Linked DNA regions of Caenorhabditis elegans. The protein of the gene in region 1 interacts with the protein of each later gene in a pairwise test. Each region holds a gene or a part of one and is shown on either strand. Other genes may lie near its edges.

Region 1 (6,719 bases):
GGAGGCGCATACGTTCCATTTGACGGTACCCTGTTACTTTTAACAGCTGGGAGCACAGGGCACCGTGGAGCAGCTGTAAGTAGGCACTGACGCTTCTAGAGAATTTTGAATTGGTTTTGAGTTTTGTTTAGTTTTACAATCAAGCTTTTGCGAGGCAAGACAAACTGTTCAAAAATACCAGGAAAATAAAATGTACTTTTTTTGGTTCTGAATTTTTAACTATACATAAGCTGCCTTTAAATTTTTAAAGAAATTCACTTTTTTGTACAGAGTTCTAAATCCAAAGTTGGGAAACTTTTAGTTTAAAACTGAAAATTGAGGAATTGCGTCAATTTGTGGAGCCTAACTATGTAAATCAAGGTACTTGGAAAAAGCTAGAATTGGAGCAAGAATTTTCAAATGTTTGTCCATTCTACGAGGTTGAGCTCATTAGGTACCTAGATTGACGACTTTCAAAATTTCAAAGAAAATTAACTAGAAAAACTGTCTCCATAATTAATTCAAAAGCAAATATGTATATTGTTTCCGATTCTCTAAGAAACCAGATGTACATACAAAACCAGCACACTTTCAAAAAGTTTGAGCAACTTAAATTAAGAGCTCATATAGTCTAATTTCCATGTAAATCAGACTTAAAGTGCCCCAAGCAAAAACTCAAACTTTGCAGAAAAAAGGTGCGGTGAGTGTCCAAGGCGCGGCGTCCTAGAAACTATCGCCAGGACGGAAGGGCGCAATCCGAATGCAATGTGATCTACATATACAATGAATTGTCGACCCCAACACCGATTGACGACGCGACTAGAAGAAGAAGAAGAAGTTAGAAGGGGGAGGAGGAAGGGAAAATGAGGGGAGATGAAGAAAAATGGTTGTAGAATTGAAATGGATTGACAGTAAGGCTGAAGAAGTAGGGGGGAATGGGGAACGGAAGCAGAATGACATTTTCGTTTTGAAATGTTCTCGGTAACTTTTCGACTATTACAGAAATTTTTCTCAGAAAACTTGAACATGGTGCATCAGGTAAAAAAATCGATATTTTTTGAAGGAGCAGCAATAATTTTGTCTAGAAAAATAAATCCGAACATGGTGCATCGACTGGAAAAGTCCGATAAGTTTGGCGGTAAAACCTGAAAAATATGTGAGAGCCAAAGAAATTTTTTGAACATGGTGCATCGGACAAAATTTGTCATAGGAAATGACGTTCTTTTTGGCATTTTATCATATTTTTTCAAACAGAGAAAAAATTTCACTTTACTAGCACAAATTTTGAATGAATAATATACTGATAACCCTTAATATGTATGTAAAAGTGACAAGTTTCAACCGTAAACTTAAAAATTGCTAGTGTAGTTTTCAGTCGATGCACCATGTTATAAAATTACATCCAAGGTTACAGGGACCCCACAAAAAATTTTCTTTTTAAAAAACCTTCTAATCTTATTGATAATTCCCTGCTAAACACAAATACAATCACAGAAAGTACGATTTTGGTGCCGAAAAAGGGAGAAAAAGAGAGTGAAGCTGTGTTTATTTGCGCTTTCCGCCCTTCCCCAACTACCGCTTTTGCCTATTAAATTGGCGAGAAGTGAACGATAAGGAAAGAGCGGAGAACCGACGATCAGAAAGTTTGTGCAATTTTATTAATAAAACTGTTCGGAACCATTATTATATTAAAACCAGGGCTCCCATGTAGGCGCCGCGATCCGACATTTTTTGGGTTTCGCGCATTGCTATTAAGATTTCGGATCCCGGCGTGAGGGCGGCGTTTGCGGCACCCACATGGGAGCCCTAATTGAAAATTTAAAGAGTAAATCGATAGAAAATCCAATTTTCAGAATTCATTTCTCAAGTTACATGCTCTCAAATTTTGAGCACTAGAAATTGAAGACAGTCTGCACTCTCCCCTCGTCCCACACTCTCTCGGCTTTAAGTTCTATAAGCTTGTATCTCTGCGGTAGATTACTGTTATAAACGACAAAAAACTGGCTGAAGTATTGGGAAAATTTGAAAGAAAAAAAATTTTGCTGTTTTTCTGAATCAAATTCAAGCACAAACTGATATGTTCAAAAAGATGTGTCATACTGGCATTTCTGAAATGTTCACAATTTTTCTGTAAACTGATAAGAAACTTTGGCGAAAAAAAAATCGGATTTTGTAGTTTTTAAGAGAAGTTTTTGAGAGAGAGTAGAAAATTAATTTTTTTGAAATCAATTTTTAAAAATACAACGTCTTAAAAAAGTAGGCATAATCAGTGTGAACGGACCAATTTAATAAAAAAAAATGTTTTTAAAATATATTATAGAAATTTCCACTCCATTTTTGAATTTTAAAATTAGAGCGCATTTACCAAAACATACTAACGTGCGCCCAGCAAACCCACTAGGTAACCCTGTTTTTTAATTCTGCGTCTCTCTCTCTCTCTCTCTCTCTCTCTTTCACTCTCTCTATACACCTCCCGCCACTCCTTATTAGTATCCACCTCTACATTAGCAACAAATGACTAATTCAAGTGTGTTCGGAGGGTGGGTGAGCCGCTTCCGCCGTTACTTTGTGATCGCCCGCCACCCCCCGATCTTGCTTACAACTACTAAATTATGTATGCGGGAGACGAGAAGGTATATGTGATATGCGAAAATGTATGTAGGAACGAGTAGAAATGTTTGGTGGGGGGGAGGGGGGGGATCATTAGATTTTATTAAAAATTTGAGAAAAATCCAAGGATTTTCCACATCGAAACTATAAAATTGCACTAGAAGTTGGCAAACGCCAAATTTCAAATTCATCCGAACTTTAGAAATTTCGGAATTTTACCGAATTTCAAAAAGTATCGGGACCGCCCATCTGTGATCATGCCAGTATCAGTACCCCAATATCGATACAAATGATATTATGGTCCGACATCTAACGGGTTTCGCGCCCCACCCAGGCAATTGCAAATAAAATATAGTGCGGCGCAAAACCCTGCGGACGTCTTGCCATGATATCAATTGAAATCCCTATTTTTGCATATTCCCAGAAAATAATCCTTAAAGTGGTTGGGCCCGGAATTTCGTCAAATTTTGGAGTTTTGAAACTGCGGCGGTCTCGAAAAATTCTAGGTTCTGGAAATTCGTGGCGTGGGTGCTTTAGAGCTGTAACAGAATTTGGAAAAATTTTATATTTCCAATTTTTTCCAAATTAGGCATAATCCTGGTATCTTGGAACTTTGACATATTTTTTAAAAGTTCAGCAATTTGAAGCAGCGCCCAATTTTGAAAATCTGAAGTTTCGTGCCATTTTTCTCATTTTGGTGGAAACCTTCTAACCTTTTCACAGTGTGAAGTGCATAACATTACAATTTTAGGCACATATGTACATACTTTTAATCAGTAGATTTTTTGAAATGTTGAACTAGGAAAAAAGGAGGATTCACGGTTTAGAATCGTAAAAAATTCAGCTCAACATTTGGTGATTTTGGCCATTTTTTTAGACCCGCGGTTTTTTCATTTTAGTAGCCTGTTTTCTTATTTTAAATTTTAGTTTTTACCAAGGATTCAATAAAAACTTACCCATAGCTGGTCCCAACTGCAACTGTCGTTCATTGTTCGCCGCTTCTTCAAAAGGTTGTTACCATCCAATCCAATCTCGATTCCTTCTTTTTATGAACACTAATTGGAACTTTTTCGAGTTGAAGTCTGAAAAAAAACTCAAAACGTTAACAGCAATGAGCAGCACAAAAAAGATCCGAACAAACGAGAAGGAGAAAAAAATTGAAAACTTTAGTTCGTAAATAGGAACAAAAACAGTAATCTAAGCTGTTGACGGTTGGGCGTGTCGTGGAGCAAAAATGGAGAGCAATTTGTGGTTGGTGCTCATGGCACCGGGAGGCGGAAGGAAGCATAGGTATAATTGTGGGGGCTCAGGAGGGGGGGGTAAATTTTTTGTGGAAGAGCAGAGTATTTGGAGTGCTATGGGAGGTTGAAAAAAGGTGGAGAAAATTATTGCAAAATTGAGAAATTAATAGAAAAAATCAAGCTTAATCAAAAAAAAAACATTTCGCTAAAACGTGCTAGATTATTCGAAAAATCGGAAAAAGTTTAATAGCCGAAAATGGCCTAAAACCTCCAATTTTCAAACTTTTCCATATGGTATAGTTCACGGTTACCAGGTACCAGAAATTTTCAGCTACCGAATTTACAAAAATAGCATCAGCAAATAGTGAAAAAATTAAGAAAATCAGCAAACAATTTTTCACTTATTTCCGTTGAAACAGGCTAGACCCCAAAGAAACATTCCAATCCCAAATTTATCCGAGAACAGCAACACAGAAAAAAACAAGATAGGCGGTCACGAGAAGTGGGGTCCGCGGTCAGCTCGAGCACCCAGCTCGAGCTGCAGCAGCTCGGACCTCGAAAAGTAGCTCCCAAGAGAAGAAGAAAAAGAAGAGACGCTATTTCTCGCCCAATAGCATATGTATACACATGTGTGCGTCTGCGTATCTTGCTATCTAGGATAGACCTCGGGGTCCCGGGGTTTTCGGAGATATTGATGAGCGAAAAATGAAGAGTTTACAACAATACGCACGGCGCGAGATACCTAGTCTAATCAATTTTTTTCGAATTACGTTGAGGGAAATCTCGTAATTTTGAGTCTGAAGCTAAGCCTGAAATTAGGCCCGAGCTTGCCTAAAAGCTAAAGGGTAACCTAAAAGCTTAGTCTGTACCGAGGGACTCAGTTTTTGAAGAAGGGCATTAAGCTAAGAGCGCAGCCTAAAGGCTTAGACTTCAGGTGCCCAGCCATTACTTTGGGCTTCTTTGGGGCTTGGCGTTCGTGGGCTCAGAATTATCCTTCAACTACGGGGCTTAACCTTCTTGGTCTCAAACTTTGAAGGATGATAAGCCTGACCTCAAGGATTTTAAAATAAGCCTAACCTCAAGGAGCGGAAAAAATGGAGATGCGGCTTTCAAGGGCTCAACCGCCTAAATGCCTAAATAAAGAAAGTAAAAGTTAGCCTAAATGGCTTAGTTTTTGAAGGCTCAACTTTCTGGGTCTCCACTTTTTGGCCCTGACATATATTTTAGCCTTAACTTCACCATCTGCCTTGGCCCGAAAAAAAAAAAAAAAAACCTAAAGCTGACTAAAATATATATATATATACTGGTTTCAAAGGACTTCCAAAAAAGCCCTACAATCACTCTCAGAAAAAACTACCCAAAAAATGCTATGCTTGTCGTACCCGACGTTTCTCAAGGTAATATGCAAAACAGGCCTCCTTTTGTCCCCCCTCCTGCCTCGCCAATCTTTCCATGGCCAAACGCAAAAGTTCAAGTGACCCGCCAAATCGACGACAACACATAGGTAGTCGTGTCTCGGAAGGTTGAGTAGAAAAAAAAGAAGAATGGGGAAAAGGAGGCGAAGAAAATGTATTCGGAAGTTAGTAATGAAAGGTAGTACACCTAAGACAAGGTGACATTGGGACTGAGAATCGGTGACAAGGGGGTAAAATTCGAAAAATTCGGAGTTGTTCTAGTCTAACTAGAAAGTTGGAAAGTTGCAGCTTTGGTCAATGCAAACAAAATGTTGGTCAGTGCAAATCGAAATTCAAAAATTTCGAAAAAGATCTCCTAATCCTTCCCGCATGTCAATGACATTTGGGCTCTCAGGAGCAGGTGTTCCGGCAAATTGTGCATTGCAAATTGACCAAACCGCATTTCAAATTCAATTTCCCATTGCAGAGAAACAAAGAAAGGTGTCAAGAGATTAGGGCAGTGATGTGAAAGGCTTAACTGAAATGAATCAGGGAAATGTTGATAAATGAGGTAATTGGAAATGGAAACATGGAGCTTGGAATTACAAATAAATTATACACTTGTGATTTTGAGGCAAATTTTAAAATATAAAGCAAAAAAAAAAACAGAAAAATCGGTCGTTCTATTTTTTGAAAGGAAAGTAATTCCAGAAAAGCGTCTGGAACTCGATAGCATTTACCAACACCCAACTAGCTTCTCATTGGTTTTGCCACAACCGCAAGACTACTTCATCCGAAGCAAATGGCATATATTGCGCAATGAATCAAAATCCACACAAAAAAGTGACAGAAGCTACCGTCAAAAGTAAGAGGGGTGCGATAATTATACCCCACGCCGGCTTTCACCTCCATACTCATTACAACGGTGCCCCCCAAAGCACTGTATACACACGTTTTCCATGTGTTTGATGACTAATGATATTACTGTTTTTTTTTCTGAAATTATATTATTGCTATACACGTGTTGCTGCGTTTAATTGCACAGGTGTATTACAAATTGAAGAGAAGGCTAGGAGGGTAGATGGAGGTAGTTTTAGTGAGTGAATATGATAAGAGCCACATAGAGTATAGAGTGGGTGATAAAAACTAAAAACAATAAATATTTCCTGTAGACTTCCTTAGAGAATTTTAAATCGGCCAAAGTGGGGGTTGCTATAGATTAAAAAAAATTTGTTTCGCACTGAACAAAAAATTTGTTTCGCACTGACCAAAAAATTTGTTTCGCACTGACAAAAAATTTGTTTCGCACTGACCAAAAAATTTGTTTCGCACTGACCAAAAAATTTGAAAAAAAAGAAACGATAACGGTTGACTTTCACAGATATACTTCTGAATATAAATTTTTTTAAAGTCATTTGAGAAATACAAAAAAGCAAAATTTTCACAAACAGGCAACCCCTGGTTTCCAGGACCCCAAATATGCCAATTTCAATTC
Region 2 (9,811 bases), on another chromosome or scaffold:
AACTATAACACATAGTTTTTATGGCTAAATGAAATAAATAGATCGAAGGTTAATAATTCTATTACAGAAAAAATACGATCGCACAAAAATAAACAACGACGCAACGACACTCCGCTGTTTTTAAGCCCCGCCCACGATTTCATTTGCACTGCGACCGCCACATTTCAGTGCAAATGAAATCGTGGGCGGGGCTTAAAAACAGCGGAGTGTCGTTGCGTCGTTGTTTATTTTTGTGCGATCGTATTTTTTCTATAATATTCTGAGTGTAAGGAATTCATGACCGACCTTTGCTGCATGGCCTAGAAAATTCGGGAAAACTCGGCCATTGATTTTTGTCTCGTGAGAGGCGTTCAAAACTGATAATTCTAGTCAATCTGTTGAGGAAAATTCAAACTTCAATTTTTCAATGTGTTTTAAATTTATTAGCGAGAAATTTAAATTTTACAAAATCTTGGCGCTAATTTTAAATAGAATTTTTCAAAAATTTCAGCGCGGAATTCAAATTTTGAGGGAAATTAAACATTTTGGCGGAATAATTAAAATGTTAAATTCCATGATTTTTGCGAAAAATTTGAATTTTCGAAAAAAAAAATTGGTGCGAAATTTAAATTATGTGTATTTTTTTCAAAAATTTAGGCGCGAATTCAAATTTTAGTAATTTTTCCAAAAATTTTAAATATTTCAGCGGGAAATTCGAATTTTCAAAACAAAAAATTTGGCGCGAACTTCAAATTATTTTTAATATTTTAGCGGGAAATTCAAATTTTAGTTATTTTTCCAAAAATTCAGGCGCGAAATTAGAATTTATTGTGCGATTCTGAAATATGCTGAAACCAAAAACGAAAAAACAAAACTTCAAAATACATTAAGCAAAAAAAAATCAATGGGAAAATGTCATCATAGGTAATACAAAAAAATAATTTTTTGGGAGTTTTCCAGAAAAACGGGCGGCTTTGAACAATGAGAATTTGGAGCAAGAAATTGGTGGAAAAAATCGGCGGTAAAAATCGGAAAAATCAATAATTTATCGTTAAAATCAATAAAAATCAACGTCGACTATGCCGATCCCTGTCCCCCCGATCCCTCCGACGTTCCGAACTTCTCGACCGTTTTCGACGGCGATCCCGTTCCGAAGATCGGCTTCTCGATCGGTGATTATGTCGTGATGAAGATTGCTCTTTTTCACGACTTTTCGATCGTTTTTTGCTCTTTTTACTCGATTTTCTCTCCTTCTCATCGTCTCTCATCTCTCGTTCTCTCTTCTTTTCCGACGACGATTTTTCCGATTTTTTATTATCGCCGTTTTTTGAATCTGAAAATTTGAATATTATTTCCGGAATTTTGTGTGTAGATTGTGTAGTTCTATGTAGTCTAGAGAATGACTACAAACTACAAAATCACATCAGCCTCAATCAAGGTTCAAACTACAAACTACAGACTTTTTGAAAGGAAATTTCTAAATATTTAGCCGAAGACTACAAACTACAAAATCAGCTTAGCCTAACCCAAAATAGTAAAATCCCAATATTTTGACTACAAACTACACGTTTGCGAGTGAAAATTTCAAAAATTCACACTTTTCATTTGTATTCTTTAAAAAATGAGTAAAATATGAAGAAATCTAGGTTGAGGCTGGGAAATATGTGTAGTTTGTAGCCTCAACCAATTCAAAAATTGGTTGAGGCTCACAGACTACAAACTACAAAATTAGAAAAAAAAAATTTTTTGGATTTTTATTTGGATTTTCAGAGATTTTATTGAAAAAAGAAAAGAATTTTTGAAATTTTTTAGATAAAAAGTGAGATTTTCCCGAAAAATCTCTGCTAAAGTGAAGAAAACTTGTAGTTTGTAGTCTCCGGCCTCAACTATTTCAAAAATTGGTTGAGGCTCACAGACTACAAACTACAAAATGAGCAAAGCCTCACCAAATGTTCAGGAATGTTCAGATTTTTTTTTGGATTTAAAAAATAGATTTTTCGAGTTCTAGAAGCGGTTTTAACTGAATTTTCAAAATTTTTCAGATTTTCCGAAAATTTCTGAATTTTTAATCCAAAAAAAGTGGAATTCCAGTGGGTTTTTTGGAATAAAATATTATTTTTTTTGGCTGAAAATTGGCGCTCCGAGACTACAAACTACAAAACCATTCTGTCCCAAAAATCCAAAATCCCAAATGTCCCAAAATCCCAAAAAATTTCAGTTCAAATTTGGCGGAAAAAAGTGAAAATTGTGAAGAAAACTTGTAGTTTGTAGTCTCCAGCGCGCCTCAATTATTTCAAAAATTGGTTGAGGCTGAGACTACAAACTACAAAATAACATAGCCTCACACAAATATTGAAAAAACATTTTTTTTTTGCAGATTTTCCTGAAATTTTTGAATTTTTAATTCAAAAAAGTGGATTTCCAGTAGGTTTTTGAAGTTTTTTGGCTGAAAATTCGCGCTTTAATAGACTACAAACTACAGAAAAACACATTTTTGACGCTAAAATCGGGGAAAAAATTAGCAAAAATGGTATTTTTTTCAACAAAAAGTGAATATATTTTTATATTTTTCATTAGTTTACCTTACCTGGAACGTGTAAATCATCAACACCTTCACCATCATCATTAACTGATGGTTTGACATCATCTGTCTTAACACTAAACTTTCGAGGGATACCCACGGGAGCCTTGAACTCTCCACCACCAGCTTCTGGTGTTCCTGCTTCTGCTGCCCCTGATGCTCCATTTAGCTCCGCCGAGCCACTGCTCTCCTGCCGTGGCTCCATGTCGTCGCCAACTCCATCGTCACTGCTGTTGTCACTATCCTCACCGTCTCCTGGAAAATTTGAAAAATTTGAATTTTTTGAAATAAAATTTCAAAAAATATGACATTTTAGCTCTAAAAAACGTTTTTTTTTTTAACTGAAAACTCAACTTTTTTTTTGCAAAAAAAGGCTTTTTTTATTTGAATTTTAGTTTTACAATTTTCGAGAAATTGAAAATTCACATTTTATGGAATTTTTAATCGAAAAAATTGAAATTTTTAAACTAAAAATTCTTTTTTGGTACATTGTTCGAAAATCGTTTTTTATAACGAATATTTAATTAAAAAAGCTTCTGAAAACCGATTTTTTCCAAAAAAAAAAAATGTTTTTTTGAAAACTTTTTCTGAAAAATTTGAATTTTTAGGAAAAAGAAGAGCTTTTCAGGAACTTTTTGAACACAATTTTTATATAAAATTAAAATTTTCTGGAAATCTAAATTTTCGCTATTTTTTTTTGAAAAATTCGATTTAAAAATCAAAAATTTTACTTTTTTTTTCGGAAAATCTCAAATTTTTCAACCAGAAAATTCGATTTGTTTCAAAATTGTAACTGTTTTAAATTTAAAAAAAATATGGAAAATTCGAAAATTTTAGAAAAAAGTTTTTAAAAAATGTGAAACTTTTGAAGACAATGTTGAAAATTTTCGTTTTTCGAATTTTTTAAATCAATTTTTAAAAAACTTTTTGAAATTTTAGCTCAAAAAACTCGATAAAATCGAATTTTTTTTGTTTAAAAAAATTTCGTCGAAAAATTGGAACAATTTATGAATTTTTTATGAAAAATTATACGATTTTCATAGCTTTTTGGAAGAAAATTTCAAAAATGTTAAAGTTTTCGGTTTTTTTTAAATTAAAAACTTGGAAAAAACTTTTAAAACCGAATTTTCTGGTCAAAAAAATTGTTTTTTCCGAATTTCGAATTTTCGCGAGCTTCTCCATACCAAAAGCCGCGAGAGCCGCCAACGCTGAGCTGTTGCCGATGATTTTCGGCGCAGTTGCCAATTTTTTCCGTTCAAATTGAAGTTTTTCGTGCTCACGGAGCTCTTCTTGTATTATACGCATGATGACGTCATTCGAAGACTCGAGGAGCACGTTCATCATTAGAGTTTTCACACAGCGTATCTGGAAAAAAAATTTCGAAAATTTTTTTTTTGAAATTTTTAAGAGGTTTTTCTCCACTTAATGGACCTTTTTTAATTTTTAATTCAATTTTTTTTTTTCAAAAGTTCTGTAGTTTGTAGTCTAACAGCCTCCAAAAACGCGAGCCTCAACCAATAGATTTTTTGAAATTTTATCAAAAATTCGGTTTTTATTGCATTTTTAAAGGTTTTGACTGAAAAATTCTGAAAATCTTGGGAAGATTTTAAGGTTTGTTTTCGAAATTTTTGTAGTTTGTAGTCTAGCGGGCATCAAAATTATAAAATTTTTGAAACAAAAAAATTTTTTTTACCCGAATTTCAAAACTTTTTAGAAAATTTTTTAAAAAATCTTGAAAAAATTGAATTTTTGAAAATTTAAATTTCTGTGAGGCTGTCTTAAAAATTGTAGTTTGTAGTCTGAGCCTCGACCAATTTTTGAATTGGTTGAGACTACAAACTACAAATTGTCATATAGCCTCAACAATGTTTTTTTTGTAAATTTTATCAAAAACTGGGTTTTTTATTGGAATTTTTATGGTTTACGCTGAAAAATTGAGAAAACCTAGGGAAAATTGTTTTTTTTTTTTAAATTCATGTAGTTTGTAGTCTAGCTGGCATCAAAAACGCCAATGTCTACTAAAATGTCTAAAATTTTAAACTTTTTTGAATTAAAAATGAAAAAAAAAACGATTTTTTTGCCGAAATTCAAAAGTTGTATTGAAAAATTTATTTTTTTTTCAAAATTTAATTTTGGTGAGGCTACCCGAAAATTGTAGTTTGTAGTGTGTGAGTCTCAACCAAAATATTGGTTGAGGCTGAGAGGCTACAAACTACAAATTGTCATAGCCTCAACCAATAGATTTTTTGAAATTTTATCAAAAACTCGGTGTTTTATAGGAATTATTTTTAGGATTTAGGAGTTACACTGGAAAATTCAGAAAATCTTGGGAAAATACAATTTAAAAAAAAAAATTTCTGTAGTTTGTAGTCTAGCCGGCTAAAATTTTCAAATTTTCAACATTTTTTTGAAATAAAAGTAAAAAAAGAAACGATTTTTCCTCGAAATACAAAAATTTCATTGTAAAATTGATTTTTTTGTTCAAAATATAATTTTGGTGAGGCTACCCGAAAATTGTAGTTTGTAGTGTCTGAGCATGAGCCTGAACCAACAAAAATTGATCAAATTTCGTCGGTTTTTTCTCGATTTTTTTAGCAATTTTCTCTAAAAATTCAGAAAATCTTCGACAAATTTTTGGTTTTTTCTCAAAATTTTTTGTAGTTTGTAGTGTGTGAGCCTCAACCAAAAATATTGGTTGAGGCTGAGAGACTATAAACTACAAAGCTGGATTTTTTTTTTCAAAAAATTGGTTTTTTTTCTCAAATTTTGAAAAATTTCCTCTAAAAATTTAGAATATCTTCGTTTTTTCTCAAATTTTTTGTAGTTTTTAGGTTTTTTTTTGCGGAAATTTCAGGAATTTAGAATTTCCCGTACAAATTGCTCTCGTCTCTCCTCCAAATCGTCTTCCGAATCATTATCATCTTCCTGATATTCAGATTTTCCATTACCAACAGGAAATTTCTCATTTTCCGGGCTCTCTTCATCCGACGAAGAGTCAAATTTGCTCTTTCCAGCTTCGGCTCTTCGCCGGGCTTTTTCTTCTTCCGCTTTCTTCAGCTTTTCCTCTTTTTCCCACTGCTTTTGCTTCTCCCGTTCGGCCTTTTCAAGGCCTTCCAGGATCCAGGCCGGCAGTTTTTTCCGGGCCTCTTTGTTCATTGCATACGGGTTTGTGGGCCCTGAAGCCATTAGTGGAGCCGGTGGAGGCACACCTTTCGGGCCAGCTTGGGCCGGGGGTTCCGGGGAATTTTGGTAGTTTTCGGGCTGGAAATCGGGCTGGAAATCGGGCTGCTGAAAATCGTGCTGGACCGAGGGGCTCTCCTGGAAAAAGTGCAGCTGCGGTGGTGGACGTTGAGGTGCTCCGAAGAAGCTTGGAGCACTTGAAGCCGCCGCAAAAAGTGGCTTAGGCTTTTGGGCCGACGGGAATAGGCTTTTCGGTGGTGGTGCCGCTGGAGCCTGAGGTCTTGGAGGCCCTGGGTAGTGCTCTGGAGGTCTATGTGGGCCTGGGGGGCCTGGAAAGTGCGGCCTTGGTGGCCCTGGCGGAAAATGTTGTGGTGGGCCTTGGAAATGATGTCCAGGCGGTCCAAAGTGTCCGTGGTGAGCTGGTGGAGGAGCTCCACGCCACGTGTCTGCTCCCTGTGGCGGTGGTGGTGGATATCCACGAGGCGGGCCTTGATTATGATATACGGGGGGCCCGGACGGCCCAGAAGGCCCAGGCGGCCCTCTCCACTGCTCGTCCCGATTCGCGGACCAATCGCCCCAATCCTGATGAGCCGGAGGGCCCGGATGACGTGGCTGATGCCACGGGAGCTGATGATTTTGAGCGAAATCGTGTGAATTTCCGGCTCGACGATCGTCTGTGTCGCGCATCGCCATCCATTGTTGGGCCAGCTGGGCCCAGTCGACTGGAAAATAGACGAAAATTAATTTTTAAATAAATTTAAAAAAATTTCGCGAAAATCTCGAAAAAAATCGATTTTTTCGTGTTTTTTTGCCAAATTTTTCGATTTTAAATTCAATTTTTCAATAAAATCACAACGCCATACCACTTTCCGCCGGCTGTGCCTGATGATAGTTGGTCCAATCTTCCATTTCCCTCGTTTTGTGATTTTCTGCAGGAAATATCGATCTTATTGGTTTTTTTTGGGAGGAAAAAGGTGGAAACTAGCATTTTTTAACAAAAATTCGAAATTTTCAGCTAGATTTTCTATTTAAAAGCTTTAAAAATGCGCTGAAAATATTCTAAAATAGAATTAAATCGAAAAAATGTCGATGGCCGTTCCTTTACACGAAACCTAGTCCACGGCCACGCGGCCACCGAATTTTATTGACGGCGGCTTTCTGTGTGATTTTCAGATACTTGAACGTGTTTTTTTGTTTGTAATGTGAAGAAAATGAATCGATATATTTAATTTTTGGAGAAAAGTGATTTTAAATTCCAGAATTCCTGCCGAAATCCGACGTTTTCCAATTTCGTGTAGAAACCCATTCGAGGGAACACAGCATGCGCCTTTAATGGCTACGGTAGGTTAATTTAATTTAATTTAATTTAATTTTTAGCAGCAATTTTCAACGATAATAGTTGTTTTTTGAATAATTTAAATTTAAATTTGCTTTTTTTTCAGATGACAGAAAGAAAACAGGATTTTTCCTGTCCAAACTACATGCTTTTCGGCGATGACTTCAATTTACAAAGTGGAATAGAGGTTTTTCCCCGAAAATTTCTGCAAAATCACTTTTTTTTTCCAATTTTTCAGGATATTTCCTGTTCCTCAAACTACACATCAGACGAAGATGGACCAAAAGTGCTCACTACAATGAGAAATATGTTTGCGGAGCAGAAAACCGACGAATATGAGCTGGTCTACGACAATAATTCGCAAAATGTGCCTCAAAATTGTTCACCGAAAAATCAATATTCGCCCCCGCAATCTGTGCAACAAGCTCATTATTCGAATTTATCACATTTTCATCCTAGAAATCCAGAATTTTCACAAGAAATCGTGGAAAATCGAGTAATTTCTCCAAAATCTGAGCATCCGGAAGAAATAGAGGATCACGAAGATGATGAGGATGGCCAAAGTGAAATGGTACTGATAAAAAACCCCGATTCTAACAATTTTTGCCCTGAAAACATGAAAAATCATCAAATTTCAGCCAATAGGACGAAAATTCGTTTGGTTGAGGCTCACAGACTACAAACTACAAACCGCAATCATTTTAAATAGGATTTTATTCAATTTTCGCTTAAAAATTAATTTATACTATTAAAAAACCTAATTTTCAGTTGAAAATCGTATTAAAAAATTCGTTGAGGCTAAAAAAATTGTAGTTTGTAGTCTGTTAGCCTCACCCAAAACATTTTCGACCAAAAAAAAAACGGTTTTCCCCAATTTTTTGTATAAAAATGAGTAAAAACGGCTATTTCATGATATTTATTAACTTTTTACGATAATAACCTTCAATTTTTACGAAAAAAATTGGTTGAGGCTAGAAAAATTGTAGTTTGTAGTCTGTTAGCCTCACCCAAAACATTTTCGACCAAAAAACTGATTTTTCTGCAATTTTTTTATATGAAAATGACTAAAAACTGCAATGTATTAAGCTTATAACTCACTTTTTCAATCCTAAAACACCAAAAACTAACGCAAAACTGGTTGAGGCTAAGAAAATTGTAGTTTGTAGTCCCTGAGCCTCACCCAAAACTATTTTCGGCCGAAAAAACCGATTTTCTCCCGATTTTTCTTATAAAAATGACTAAAAACTACAATTTCATGGATTTCGCCCAACAATTTCGAATTTTCAGAAGCACAATTGCCCGGAATGCCCGAAAAAGTACACATCGGAACGACGTCTCAAGCATCATATCGTTGTACACCGCAATCCGGACGCCTATAAATGTCAAAAATGTGGATATTGCTATCAGAGCCCAGATAGTCTCCGGAGACACTGGAAGGTAGCAAAAAAATCGAATTTTCACTGAAAATTTGACAAAAAATTAATTTTTTTTTGTTGCAGAAAACTCCGAATTGTGACGAGTTTCCGCCGAAGATTAATGTGAAAACAGAGATTTTGGACCCGGATTCATGAATTTTTAAAATTTTTTTTGATTGTTATATTGTAAATTACATTTTTTTACTGTGTACTATTTCTGACACTAACTCGATTTCCCAGTGGCCTTATTCATACGCTCATTTCATTGATTTTCTCGGTGCATATTTAAATTTTTATTCAGTTTTTGATTGACAAAATTCATTTTAATTGCAATTTATATTGATTTTTCAACGATTTTCTCAGTTTTTTCCTCAAAAATTGCCCATTTTTATGCGAATACCTTCATTTTTTTTTCACCCAAAATGTGTAGTTTGTAGTGTGTGAGCCGCAACCAAAATATTGGTTGAGGCTGAGAGGCTATAAACTACAAACTGACACCGCCTCAACCAAGTTTTTTTGTTGAATTTTGAAGCTAAAATCTTTTTTCAGAGTTTTTTGTGAAAATTTTAACAAAAAAAAAAACAAAAATTCATTTGAAAATTAAAAAATGTGAAAAATTTCACGAAAAACCAAAAAAAATCCCGTTTTTAATCAGAAATCATGAATATTTTCAGATTTTTCGGATAAAAATAACAAAGTCTGTAATTTTCAACCAAAAAATGTTAATATCAGTTTTTTAGCGGAAATTATAAAAAAGATCACTTTAAAAAAATGGAAATTACGTATTTTTCCATTAAAAAGTCCGAAAACTAGCGATTTTCCAGTCGAAAAATCAAAAATTGCCTATTTTCTGCTGTGAAATACATGAAATTCGCATTAAAATTAAAAAAAAAAAACCTCCAAAAACTGATTTTTCCCTCAAAAGTCCCAAAAAATTTGGTTGAGGCTATGACATTTTGTAGTTTGTAGCCGAGGCACGCACACTACAAACTACAAAATTTTAATAATTTTTTTTCAGCATTTCCATCACAGCTTGAGTCTGCCCGTAAAAATCGTGTAAGAAACAAAATGTAAGTTTGTTGAGGCTCACAGACTACAAACTACAAAATTTTTTGTTTTTTTTTTTCAGGAATCCACGTGGAAATCCGTCGAAAATGCCGACTCAAATTGTGTTAAACAGACGTCCAGCAGCACCAGCAAGACCTCAAACAGTAGGATTTTGAAACGAAGAGACTACAAACTACAAACTACACAATTTTCAGACATTCACCTCACTGTCCCAATATCACATGTACAATACGGCGAGCACATCATCGGCTC
Region 3 (6,951 bases), on another chromosome or scaffold:
TCAGAGAATAACGCCTTTTTTTGGTAATTTTGATTGAAAAATTAACATTTAGTGAAATTTAGTCAAAAGCTTGAGTATTATTACTCAATTTTTGATACTTCAGCGGCTTAAAATGAAATAAATTTGGCGGAATTTCAAAAATTCAATTTTAATTAAATATATCATCATTTTTCAGATGTTTTAACGGTGGTGTAGTCGAATTTTTTAAAAATTGCTTTATTAGACTCAAAATCGTCTGAAAACACCGAATTTCATAATGAAACTTCTTGAAAACTTTTCAAAAAAAAGTCATGACGGCTCAAAAAATGGCCTAAAATTAGTTAAAATTTGACATTTGACTTGTCAAGCGGCTGGAAACTAATTTTTTTTTAAATCACCGTCAAATTTTGAGTATACAATGTAATTAGCTTGCGTTTTCAACTCTGATTTAGGTATTTTAAAGTCGATGGACGGCGAGATTTTTAATTTTTTAAAACCAAATCTCGCCGTCCATCGACTTTAAAATACCTAAATCAGAGTTGAAAACGCAAGATAATTACATTGTATACTCAAAATTTGACGGTGATTTCAAAAAAAAAATTGTTTCCAGCCGCTTGACAAGTCAAATTTCAAATTTTAACTAATTTTAGGCAATTTTGTGAGCCGTCATAACTTTTTTTTTGAGAAGTTTTCAAGAAGTTTCATTATGAAATTCGGTGTTTTCAGACAATTTTGAATCAAACAAATCAATAAAAAATTCGACTACACCACCTTTAAAATGAGATAAATTCGGCGGAATTTCAAAAAAAAAAAAACCATTTTTATAAAATATATCATCGGTTTTGTGGTATTTTTAATTGAAAAAAATCTGAAATTTCATATTTTTCGCCTGAAACTTATGAAATTCAATTTTTAGTCAAATTTTCACATTAAATGGATCAATTTCGCCTCAAAACTCACCGCCCAAGTCATAAAACACGAGTAACCCCAGTCGTTTTCCTTCGATGTATACGTATGTGTCGTTCGTCGGGCAAAGTGGGGCACGTTTGGCTTGTACGAGATCATTCGCATGTCGGCTATCGCGTGGACGCTCCATTGGCTGGAAAAAGTGTGAATTTTCGGGGTTTTTGTTGGGAAAAAATGGCAAAAAATGCTAATTGGGTGGGAAATTTCACAGAAAATGTGGATTTTTGGCATTATTTCGACCCTGAAAATGGCGAAAAACAGCAAATTTCTGTATTAAAAATGGTAATTTGGAAGCGGAAAATGTCATTTTTCAAGAAATTTCACCGAAAATTAAATTTTTTTTGTGTTTTTTGCCAAGAAAAATGGCGAAAACAGCAAATTTTTGTATTAAAAATGGTAATTTGAAGCATTAAATGTGAATTTTTGTAATTTTTGGCAAAATTTCAGTCGTGAAAATGGTAAACTCAGCTTAAAATTGGGAATTCGAAGTTGGAAACTTCGACTTTCGATTTTTCTATTAATTTGAGCATTTTAAATCGAAACATGACAATTTTCAGGCCAAAAATGCGATTTTCGCCCAGTTTTGCAGTATTTTTCCACTTTTTTCGACACAGATTCAGTTAAAATACAATTTTTCGCGTTTTTTTCTCGAATTTCCCGGGCTCTCCAACATACTCAGAATAGGCTCTTTCGGGTGCGCATTGCAGGAAGAATCCCATGCATTTTTGTTGTTTCTTCTGAACCATATGCTGTTTCGGCATCACCATTATCTTCCACGAGACACCTTCGATCGATTTTGGCGGCGAGCACATTGTCTCCTCCAACTGCGAGAATCGATTGATTACGAGCCGAAGTTTGCAGTTCTCGTCGTTCCATGATGGTCCATCGACGGCTTTTCCGTTTGTCGCACCGGCCGCGGCGTTTGATGAGGAGGCGTTTGCGTTCGAATTCTGGAAGGGGCGAAAATTGAATTTTTTTTCAATAAAAATGGATTTTCATCTAATTTTCTGGGATTTTTTGTCTTTTTAAAGTCTTTTTTTTTTAAATTTTTGAAATTTAATCGCAAAACCGTTTCAAAATTTTATTTTATAAGAAATTTTCCTGGTTTTCAGCAAAAAAAAAAAAACAAAAAACTAGCAAACCTGTTTCTTTCCTTCACCAACGACGCCAGTCGTCGACGCGGCACGAGCCTTCTGTGTCGTCTGGCCTGCCTGCTGTGGTTGCGTCGTGTTCGTCGAACTATTCAGACTCGGCGGCTTCTTCTCACCAAAATAGGCTTCAATTTCGTTGGGCTTCACGCCTGCCGGTCCGGTTAGCTTCTTATCGGCCTGGAAAAATTCTCGTTTTTTTTCAAAATTTTAACTTCAGAATTCCTTTTTCTCGAAAAAACCGCCGGGAAATGCCTAAAAAACATGAAAAAATCGAAAAATTGATAATTGTCAAATTTTCCATAGTTTTAATCGTTGATTTCAGTGAATTTTGCCCAAAAATCAACAATTTTGATGTGTTTTTATCTGATTTTTACGCAATTTTCGCGTGGTTTACACAGAAAATTGAACAAATTTCGCTCAAAACTCACTGCTGGGGCTCCCGATGGTGCTGGCGACGAGGAAGCGGCTTGATTGGCTGGCGTGGATGCTCCGGAAGCAGATGCAGATGACGATGTTGTGTCGACTGAAATTTTGATTTTTTTTAATGCTTCAAAACGCGAAAAATGTCGCATTTTCTTCAATTTTCATAAATTTTTAAAGCAAAAATCGTCCAAAAATTCGGGTTTTTCTCGAATTTTACCAATTTTTCAGCAATTATATTACCTGCGCCTGTGCCTACATGTGACGTGGACGAGGACATCAGCTGGCTCATTTGTTGAAACACACTGGGACTTCCTTGCTCCGTCTGACATCCAACATCACAGCCTGTCTTCGTTCTAAAATATCGAGTTTGAGGATTTTTGTAGCAGAAACATGCGATTTTCTCCAAAAAATCATATAAAATAACCGAAATTTATGATTTTCTAGCGGTTTTGAACATTATTTCGGTAATTTTAACGTTTTTCACCAATAAAAATCGATTTTTCAACGCTAGAAATTTTTGAATTTCAGATGAAAAATCAATTTTTACTAATTTTCCTGTGAAATATGCAACTTTTTCAGAATAAAAAATCAAAAATGAAGGAAAACATCAATTTTTGATTGTTTTTCGTTAAAAAATCGATTTTATTTTCATCTTTTTGTAAAAAAAATCACTGAATAAAACATTAAACATCAATTTTTCAACAAAAACTACAGAAAATTGGAATTTTTTCACATTTCCCACTGTTTTCAAGCATTTTTCAGTATTCAGACTTCAAAATGCGTGGAAAAAACAATTTTTCCAAGCAATTTGGAGTTTCGATATTGAAAAAATTGCTCAAAACGGTGGGAAATGTGAAAAATAATCCAATTTTCTGTAGTTTTGTGGAAAAATTGTGTTTTAATTCATTTTTCATTCAGTGATATTTTATTCAGTGATATTTTTACAAAAAGATGAAAAATATCGATTTTTAACGACAAATTATCAAAAATAATAGATTTTTCCACGCATTTTGCAGTCTGAGAGGAAAATGTGAAAAATAGTTAAATTTTCTGTAATTTTTGTGGAAAAATTGGTTTTCAATGGTTTTTTCTAGTTTTCTGGACTTTTTTTTCACTTTCTCAGTGCAAAAGACCAATGTTCCGCAGAAACCGGTTCGGTTATACATCCTTATACATAGTTGTGTGACTGGTAATTCATCATATCACACACACACCCACACACAACAACGACGACGGCCCGATTCTATTCATAATGATTCATCAGTCCGTGTTTCTCTGCGTCTCTTCTCTCTCTCTCTCTTACCTGGCTTTTTTCTTCTGAATAACTTCACTTTGTCCTTCCATTTTTTGTGTGGTTTTTTTGGATTGTATAGGGGGGTTCCGTGGGGGTTTAGATGTTCGCGCTTTCAAGCAACTAACGAACTGCAATTGAATACGGTGCTGCTGCTGCTGCTCGTCGGTTGATTTGAGTCGAAAATCGATCGCAACGGTGTTTTTTTACTGGAAAATTTGATGGTTTTTGAAGGATTTTTTGGGGGTTGGAGAGGAGAAAAGCTGAGAATTTTGAATAAAATCAATGGGGAAAAATCCGAGATTTTTAGACCCTTTTGGGTCCCGCAGCGACTGTTTACGATTAAAAAAAACCAATTTTCTCGGAAAATCGCAATTAACGAGTACAAAATTCAACAAACTATGTATTTTCAGATATCAGGTTAATTTTCGTGGCGAGACCCGACAGGTGTTCAATTTTCACATAAAGCTCAAACCTTTAGCGTTCTGCTGTAAACTGCCACATTTTAATTGAATTTCACTGCGAAAAAGCGAAATTCGTGCAGATTTCGCAATTTTATCGCTTAAAACCACGAAAAGTGTGGAATTCATAGAAAAAATAAATTTTTTTTTCAAATTTTTAGTGGACTGAACAGTGAAAAATATTCGAATTTGTGCGAAAACTTTGAATTTACACAATTTCACTTTTTAAAAATTAAAGAAAATCATGCTTTTTTTTTCTGAAAATGAAAAAAAATTACCGACATTTCTGAAATTTTAGTGAAAATTCTTGGGATTCTGTGACTTTTTGCAGATAATTTACTCCATCGCAGCTCAAATTGACTTAAAAAAACTGACTATCTACCACTAAATGAGAAGATTTTCCCGTTAAAAAGTTCGCCACGAGTCCAAAAGTAACGAGCAAACAAGAGAAGCCGAGCCGACCGCAACGAGTCGAAAAAAAATCAATCAATTCGTAAATCGATGGGGAACGGAATGGGGGGAGAAAACGAAGACAATCTGCGGACTACTAGAGACCCGGAGAAGGAGGAGGTATACGACGACCCAAAAACTATTGTTGAAGAGAGAGAGAGCGAGCGGCGAAGAGAGAGATCACGACAATCCAAGAGAGCACGAGACAGCGTGTCGGATAAACCGAACGCGAGTAGAGAGACTGAGGGAAAACGACGCACAAGTCTTTGCTGCTGATGCTATTGGCGGCGGCGGTCGGGGGGCAGTCGGGCGACACCGACCAACCGACGGTCATATAGACACACATTGACGCGGGGAAGAGGAGAAGCGAGGGATGGAGAGACACGATGAAGAAGAAGAAGACACGTCGGAAATCGATCAAGTAGCCGCCAGCAGCAGTAGCTGCAGAAGTAGTAGTAGTAGTTGCATCATCGAGGGTCCTGTGAATCGTACGATCATGTGGAGAAACTTAATTTTTCGACATTTTTGAAAAAAAAACTTAAGATTTTTTAACAAAAAAAAAATTTTTTTTTTTTGAGGGAAAATCTTAAGATTTGAAGTCGAAAAACGAATAATTTCGATTTTTCGAATTATAAAAAATCGAAAATTTTCGATAAAAAACTAAAAATGCTCAGAAAATTAACCAAAATATGATTTTTTTTATATAGTTTTTATTTTCCAAAAATCGAAAAACCGACACCATTTCTCGGCATCTAACAAAATTCCCAAAAAAAATTGGAAAAAGGCGACCGTGCCTCCCTACATCCTGTATTTTAAGGATTTAGGAACAACAAAACCGAAATATGCACCTGGTATCAGAGTGTCTCATTTCGGTTTGATCTACGTAGATCTACAAAAAATGCGGGAGAAAAGCCGCAGAGTTCGCAATTTTTTGTAGATCAAACCGTGATGGGACAACCTGCCACCACTTGAATATGATTTAAAGCGAGAACAACGGAAAAATGGACACTGCCGTAGTATTAAAATTGAATCTTCCAAGGAATCTTGCATTTTCCTAATGAGGAAATTCAAATCATGTACTCTTTTCCAGAATTTCCTGCCGTTCTCAGAAAAATATAATCAATGATTCGACTATTTCTGGCCGTGACATAGGAAAACCTCCGGGCGTAATTTTCATATAAATATGCCGTATTGTGACCGTAGAAAATCCCCGAGAATTGGAAAAACTGGGATATTTTGTTGAAAAAATGCGACACTTTTGCACAAAAATTCCAAAAAATGAGAATTTCTCATTTCCCCCCTCAAGTTCTCGCTCATTTGAACGAAGTAAGGCGAAAAACCTGTGTAGGTGACAGCGGCGGGCGGATCAAAAACCCCAATTTCGCGAATTGGATTGATTCTCGAATGGTTGTTATAAAAGGAGTCGTCGTCGTCGTGGAAAGAATGGATCGGCTGACTGTCTGAGACTGGCCACAAGATGGGGAAAAAAGTAGTGGCAAGGACGAAGGAACGGATAGAGATGGCGGAAAACGATTACGGTATCTTCTTCTCATTTTTCTTCAGCGACAAACACACCAAGGAATTTCGTTTTGGTACTGGAAATAGTACTCAAAAAACCAAAAAATCGAGTTCAACGAGAACCTATAATCCTTCAGTGCGTTGGTCTTTGTTGACCGTTTACACCCATATAGATTCCGAGAACATACGTCATACAATACGTTGCATAAGGATTTTCCAGTGAAATCCTAAGAAATTGGCTCTGGGAGTGGAAAAACTGTGAAGAAATAGGCATTTAGAATATAGATTCGCAAGAAATTCGATAAAAATCTCCATAGAAACGTCCAGAAGACCGATTTCAAAGAAATCATGGTTTTCTTCAAGCATCAGTATTTAAAAATATTGATGGGGAGAATTGAACTTTGAACAATTATTTTAGCAGAAAAACGGCGGGCTCTGCAATTGCGACAAATTTTAGGTGACATGATGGAAAAGCTTCACATTTCGTGCATTATAAGAAAATTGATCGGTTTCGGAACAACTCCGGCAACTTTATTGAGTAGTTTTGGAGCCAATTCGTGTCTAATAGCACATTGGGTAGAAATTTCTCCAAGAAAAACGAACAAACCGTAAGAAATTTACCAGATGTTCAGATATATTCTACAGACCTGCTACTAGAAAAAACAGCGAAACAGTGATGGAATCCAGCAAATATCAGAGGAAACAAGAATGA
Region 4 (6,171 bases), on another chromosome or scaffold:
TTTCTAGACAGACAAAAAACCAAATATGTTTTTGATTTTCCTTTACTGATTCGCCTCCATGAGCTCCTGTTGCGTGTCCGATAATATTAGAGGCCGCATTCTGAGTGTTCTGGCAGAACCCGAAGTTTGCAACACAGGCAATAAGTACAAGAAGGTAGAAGATGAAATTCGTGTTGAATGATGTGTCCATTCTTACAGGGCTCTTTTTATATGGAACACTGACAAAAGAGGTATCCAATAAAAACATGTTATTCTGCATTTTCAGATATATGATACCTTTTGTATTATCTGTTTTCAGAATACAACAATACTTCAAAAACATCAAAATAACAATTTTCGAATTTATCCACCAGTTAGTTACAAAAATATGTTTGTAATACATGTTTTTATTGGATATCTCTTTTGTCAGGTTCCAGGAACTGATCCAACTGAGGAAGTCAATGATGTCACAAGTTGAAGAACAGTTGCCAAAAGCCCAGTCACCACTTGCAACACAGCATCCACTTGCACTTGCTCAGTCTGGAACCGTCACTGTATTTTTGTAACCACTAAGAATACAGAAACTTTCAACGGCTCCAACATCTGGAACTTCTGGAACTGGAACCTCCAATGAGCATCCCAAGTTAGCAACACAAGCGATGAGGGCAAGAAGGTAGAAGATGAAATTCGTGTTGAATGAATTGTGACTATTCCATTCTTACAGGGCTCTTTTTATATGGAACACTGACAAAAGAGGTATCCAATAAAAACATGTTATTCTGCATTTTCAGATATTCCTTTTGTATTCACTGTTTTCAAAATACAACAATACTTTAAAAACATCAGATATTAAATGTATTGATCAATTGTAAATGGCAAAAACACTAGCATTAACACTCATAGTATTGAACTTGTAGTCATCATAAAGTAGTAATCGTAGCAATACATACAGACAAAATATAAAGCTACATAGTTTGTCACAAAATCATTCGACTAATTGCTTTCAGGCTGTCTTGATTGATATATCCTTCAGAGATTCATGTCAGATGAATTGTCTGTAATCATATAGCCCTTTCATTTTAGTCAACTCAGAATGCTTATTTCAACTGGTTACGCTAAAGCATCAATGTTTAGAGGTATTGTTACAAGTATTTTCCAAATCACAATTTATGGATGAATTTAATAATATCTGATATTTTGGATGTTTTTAAAGTATTGTTGTATTTTGAAAACAGTGAATACAAAAGAAATATCTGAAAATGCAGAATAACATGTTTTTATTGGATACCTCTTTTGTCAGTGTTCCATATAAAAAGAGCCCTGTAAGAATGGACACATCATTCAACACGAATTTCATCTTCTACCTTCTTGTACTTATCGCCTGTGCTGCAAACTTTGGCTTCTGCCAGAACATCCAGGGTGCGGCCTCTAATATTATTGGACACGCAGCAGGAGCTCATGGAGGCGCCACTGGAGCTGCTCGAGGTGCTGTGAAAAGTGTTGGAAATCGTTGGGATCCAGATGATTAGTAGCTTTTTGATGCACTCTGTCGTATTTTTTGGGAATAAATATATCGAACATTGGGAATTCATCTGTTTTATTTTTTAAAGATTATTATACTAAAGAGTGACACGCTCTCTATAAATCCGAATATAATGCCAGTTTCATAGTTTTCCCCTACTACTGATGTGCCTCTGGAGAATCTTCACGTATCAGCTTGACACATTTGCTCCGTCAGTTCTTCACCCAATTGCAACATTTGGCAAGCATTCAATTCAATTGAAAACGTACATAAACTGTACATATACTGACAAAACGACGCGCGCTTCATATATAGTAAATAATTTAAGATATGTGAAACAGTTTCATAGAGGATTAACACATTATTATACTAATATTCACAAGTTCGATGTTGCTAGTCGATTCTCTTCTTGATACTGAAACCATCCGGTTGATAAGCAATGTCGAATGTTACATTTCTAGATTTATAAACAATTGATCCAGACAAACTATTTAGAGCGGAGTGTGAATCAAAAACTCTAAGGAGATGTGTTGCATCAAATTGCACTCTTTCGCAAGTAAAATATTCAAACTTGGTTGATTCCAGAACAACCTCCTGAAAGTTTATGCTATAAAATTCACATATCATAGTAAACTCACATCTCGAAGCCTGGTGATATCATTTTCTGAGAAAGCTTCCTCAGAAAAGTCAAAGTTCAGTGATTGGAAGTGAGCAAGATGCTTGACGATAAGTGAATAATGTGGAACAGGAGACAATGTCAGAGTCTTTGCTTGTTTCCATTGTTCAAGGCGCACCAGACGTTTTATGGAATTTTCATCGGATTCGCTACTTTTAATTGTCAAGTCCTCTAAAATTTCAGTATTGAAGTGTTCTAGAATTTCAGCAATTTGAACAGAAGGAAGCCAATTGATCAATACTGATTTTGTCGTCAAGACTCCAACTGATTGAAGTACATTTTTAAGAGCATCAAATAAAATGAGCCCTTCGTCCTTAACTCCATTAACGTAGAAATAATCCAGATTTAATCCTCTGCACTTCAAAAGTCTTGATGCATCATTCATAGCAACCTCCAATGGCCGTTTGTTCTTAACAAGAAGCTCCCGTTCTTCATAAGTCACAAGGCAGTCATCATCGTCCAATTCATAGGTCACAAGGTTATCGTTCATATACAAAGAAACGTTATTTTCTTCTTGAAAAATATGAAATTTCTTCAAGTTAGAACGTTGATAATCGATTATAGATTTAAAACTACAACAAACCGCACCTGCAGTAAACCTGAAAACAATTTGTATTTACAAAACAAAACTATGCAATCAATTTATACCGATCAATTGGGTTCAGTTTATCCAGAATCATTGTTTGAAGGTAGTTCGTAACAGATTTCCATTCTTTCCTCTCTGATGAATAAAATCTGTAATAGTTACTCTCATACTTCATTGATTGAAAAAACACGAACCTATCATATGAGTCCAAGTTCAGACTTCCATTTGAAAGTCCCATATACCAATATTCAAAATGGAGGTATTCCATGAACTGCTCACCAAATGCCTTGCACATTGCTTCGTATGCATCGAGAACTGGAATTTCTTGAAGAAGTTGGAATAGGATACAGATTCGCAGTGCTCGTGAGTCCGTGACGATGCATTTAACTTTACGATCGATTCTGAAATTGAAGTTATACTTTTCATTGGAGAATACAAAGTTCGTCTTTTTTCCATCTCATTGTCATAATTTGTTTGAAATTGCAGTTCGATAAAATGAAAAAAAAAACTTACTGGTCCATTGATGCTGAACTGCTCGATTTTTCCCTGCAAACTTTTTAATTACTTCTTTTTGTTAACAAGGAAATCAAGGTAAAGAAAATACGACACGACCAGGAACATAGTGACAAATAACAGGCATAGTAACAAATAAATCAATGCGTACTTTCATGGGCGATGAAGAGTTTTTCCACATAAAATTTGACTTTCTCAAATTTTCATACAAGGTATTTTTCTCGAAATGCCTATAATTTCCAAAAGTTTCATTATAACTTAAAATTTGCTACTAAACAACAAAATTAATCATTAAAATCTGTCTCTTTTTCGACAGAAATCAATAAACTAGCTTGAAATTGACAACAGTGAGAAGAGAAAATTTCAAAAATTGAAGCTGTTATCAGTATTCCCCATAAAAATGTGTGAAAGGAAGTAAATAGAGCATTTTATGGTTTCGTCGATGAGATGGGCTCATGTGACTCATGGTTTACCACATTGTTTCTCGTGAAAAGTAGAGTAAAAAATGTCTTCATTTTAAATCGTTAAATTTTACTTATTTTCGAATCGTCTGATCCTTCTCAACAAATAATTTTGATAGAAAACAGCAAAATAATCCACCAAGAACCTGGAAATTTTGAAAATTTTACACACAGAAACGCGAAGTTTAGCAAGCGCGCTCTAATAGTTATTCGGATTTGAGGAGAGCGTGTCACTATGTAACATAATAATTTATATAAAAGAAAGTAGACGAATTCCCAACGTTCGATATATTTATTCCCAAAAAATACGACAGAGTGCATCAAAAAGCTACTAATCATCTGGATCCCAACGATTTCCAACACTTTTCACAGCACCTCGAGCAGCGCCAGTGGCGCCTCCATGAGCTCCTGTTGCGTGTCCGATAATATTAGAGGCCGCATTCTGAGTGTTCTGGCAGAACCCGAAGTTTGCAACACAGGCGATAAGTACAAGAAGGTAGAAGATGAAATTCGTGTTGAATGATGTGTCCATTCTTACAGGGCTCTTTTTATATGGAACACTGACAAAAGAGGTATCCAATAAAAACATGTTATTCTGCATTTTCAGATATATGATACCTTTTGTATTATCTGTTTTCAGAATACAACAATACTTCAAAAACATCAAAATAACAATTTTCGAATTTATCCACCAGTTAGTTACAAAAATATGTTTGTAATACATGTTTTTATTGGATATCTCTTTTGTCAGGTTCCAGGAACTGATCCAACTGAGGAAGTCAATGATGTCACAAGTTGAAGAACAGTTGCCAAAAGCCCAGTCACCACTTGCAACACAGCATCCACTTGCACTTGCTCAGTCTGGAACCGTCACTGTATTTTTGTAACCACTAAGAATACAGAAACTTTCAACGGCTCCAACATCTGGAACTTCTGGAACTGGAACCTCCAATGAGCATCCCAAGTTAGCAACACAAGCGATGAGGGCAAGAAGGTAGAAGATGAAATTCGTGTTGAATGAATTGTGACTATTCCATTCTTACAGGGCTCTTTTTATATGGAACACTGACAAAAGAGGTATCCAATAAAGACATTTTATTCTGCATTTTCAGATATACCTTTTGTATTATCTGTTTTCAGAATACATCAATACTTCATAAATATCAGATATTAAATTTATCCAACAATTGAATTGAAAAATACTTGTAACGATACCTCTGAACATTGATGTTTTACCTTTAATAGCCTACTTCACATGGTCATGTCAGATAAGTTACATATTAGCTTGCATATCTTCAATTTCACTCACTCAGAATGTTTTCAACAATTCATTCATGCTTTTTATTGTATATGTATATTACAATTGTTGGATAAATTTAATATCTGATATTTGTGAAGTATTGTTGTATACTGAAAACAACTATTACAAAAGGAATGTCTGAAAATCCAGAATAAAATGTTTTTATTGGATACCTCTTTTGTCAGTGTTCCATATAAAAAGAGCCCTGTAAGAATGGACACATCATTCAACGCGAATTTCATCTTCTACCTTCTTGTACTTATCGCCTGTGTTGCTAACTTTGGGTTTTGCCAGAACACTGGGAGAGTTGTGAGTATCGACGATCAAACTCGTTACTTGACGGAATTGCTTAACGAAGTTAAGGATAGATTCGAAAGCACATCGGACCAGGTGTTTTCATCATCTGATAAAAAGCAGGATTTGGTGGATTCATTGCTGGATCAGATCGACAAACTATTCCTGGAGGAGGATTCACATCCTAAGTAATTCAATAAATCATGTTGTTATTTTGGGAATAAATATATCGAACATTGTGAATTTGCCTTCTTTCTTTTAAAAAAGATTATTATATTACAGAGTGACACGCTCTCCTCTAATCCAAATATTTATTAGAGCGCGCTTGCTAAACTTCGCGTTTCTGTACATCTTGCGCTGTGGGTGAAAGTTTCAATTTTACAGGTTTTAATGAGATTATTTCGTTATTTTCTATTTTCTAGTGAACGAGTGGCCAAAAAATAAAGAAATTGTTATTTTTTCACTCTATTTTTTCACTAGAAATAGTAGTAAACCATGAGTCACATGAGCCCATCTCAAACCATAAAATGCTCTATTCACTTCCTTTCACACATTTTTATGAGGAATACTGATAACAATCGGAGGAAAACTACGCTCGTAAACCCGTGGCCTCTTTTCAACCAACTGTAACCATTTTCTAACTGCCATTAGATTTCGTCCACTTTCCAAATAACTTTGCTCACTTCTCCACCAACTTTCACCAACTTTTTCCAATTGCTCAGAGCATTAAATCATTGCCCAATTTTCCTCAATATTTTTTCCTAAAAAATTACCTCAATTTTTGAAATTTTCTCTTCTCTTCTCACTGTTGTCAATTTTTAGCTAGTTTATTGATTCTCT

The links.
Region 2: the proteins of toca-1 (region 1) and rsy-1 interact in a two-hybrid assay, tested with the Caenorhabditis elegans proteins (one large-scale study listed by BioGRID).
Region 3: the proteins of toca-1 (region 1) and pqn-87 interact in a two-hybrid assay, tested with the Caenorhabditis elegans proteins (one large-scale study listed by BioGRID).
Region 4: the proteins of toca-1 (region 1) and fbxa-156 interact in a two-hybrid assay, tested with the Caenorhabditis elegans proteins (one large-scale study listed by BioGRID).

The regions. Positions count from the first base shown.
Region 1 is NC_003284.9:1,517,817-1,524,535, forward strand, and holds the start of toca-1 (Transducer of Cdc42-dependent actin assembly protein 1 homolog), read right to left. Parts: upstream 3,672-6,719; 5' UTR 3,579-3,671; coding exon 3,546-3,578; intron 1-3,545. UniProt on the Caenorhabditis elegans protein: Plays a role in protein trafficking, actin organization and embryonic morphogenesis. Potentially acts as a cdc-42 effector. May play a role in hypodermal P-cell nuclear positioning.
Region 2 is NC_003279.8:11,215,327-11,225,137, forward strand, and holds rsy-1 (Arginine/serine-rich protein PNISR), read right to left. Parts: upstream 6,670-9,811; 5' UTR 6,650-6,669; coding exon 6,604-6,649; intron 6,463-6,603; coding exon 5,435-6,462; intron 3,926-5,434; coding exon 3,745-3,925; intron 2,816-3,744; coding exon 2,567-2,815; intron 1,313-2,566; coding exon 1,047-1,312; 3' UTR 851-1,046; downstream 1-850. Other genes in the region: Y53H1A.2 (C2H2-type domain-containing protein), read left to right, coding at 7,073-7,081, 7,183-7,263, 7,315-7,647, 8,364-8,513, 8,576-8,647; Nuclear transcription factor Y subunit nfya-2, read left to right, coding at 9,560-9,561, 9,621-9,702, 9,754-9,811.
Region 3 is NC_003280.10:12,217,771-12,224,721, forward strand, and holds the start of pqn-87 (MATH domain-containing protein), read right to left. Parts: upstream 3,864-6,951; coding exon 3,823-3,863; intron 2,873-3,822; coding exon 2,760-2,872; intron 2,620-2,759; coding exon 2,525-2,619; intron 2,274-2,524; coding exon 2,088-2,273; intron 1,896-2,087; coding exon 1,621-1,895; intron 1,079-1,620; coding exon 940-1,078; intron 1-939.
Region 4 is NC_003283.11:17,893,478-17,899,648, forward strand, and holds fbxa-156 (F-box domain-containing protein), read right to left. Parts: upstream 3,310-6,171; 5' UTR 3,285-3,309; coding exon 3,277-3,284; intron 3,165-3,276; coding exon 2,958-3,164; intron 2,913-2,957; coding exon 2,826-2,912; intron 2,777-2,825; coding exon 2,140-2,776; intron 2,096-2,139; coding exon 1,895-2,095; 3' UTR 1,753-1,894; downstream 1-1,752. Other genes in the region: C06H5.11 (Holin), read right to left, coding at 406-519, 565-582; C06H5.12 (FIP (Fungus-Induced Protein) Related), read left to right, coding at 1,308-1,508; C06H5.13 (FIP (Fungus-Induced Protein) Related), read right to left, coding at 4,069-4,269.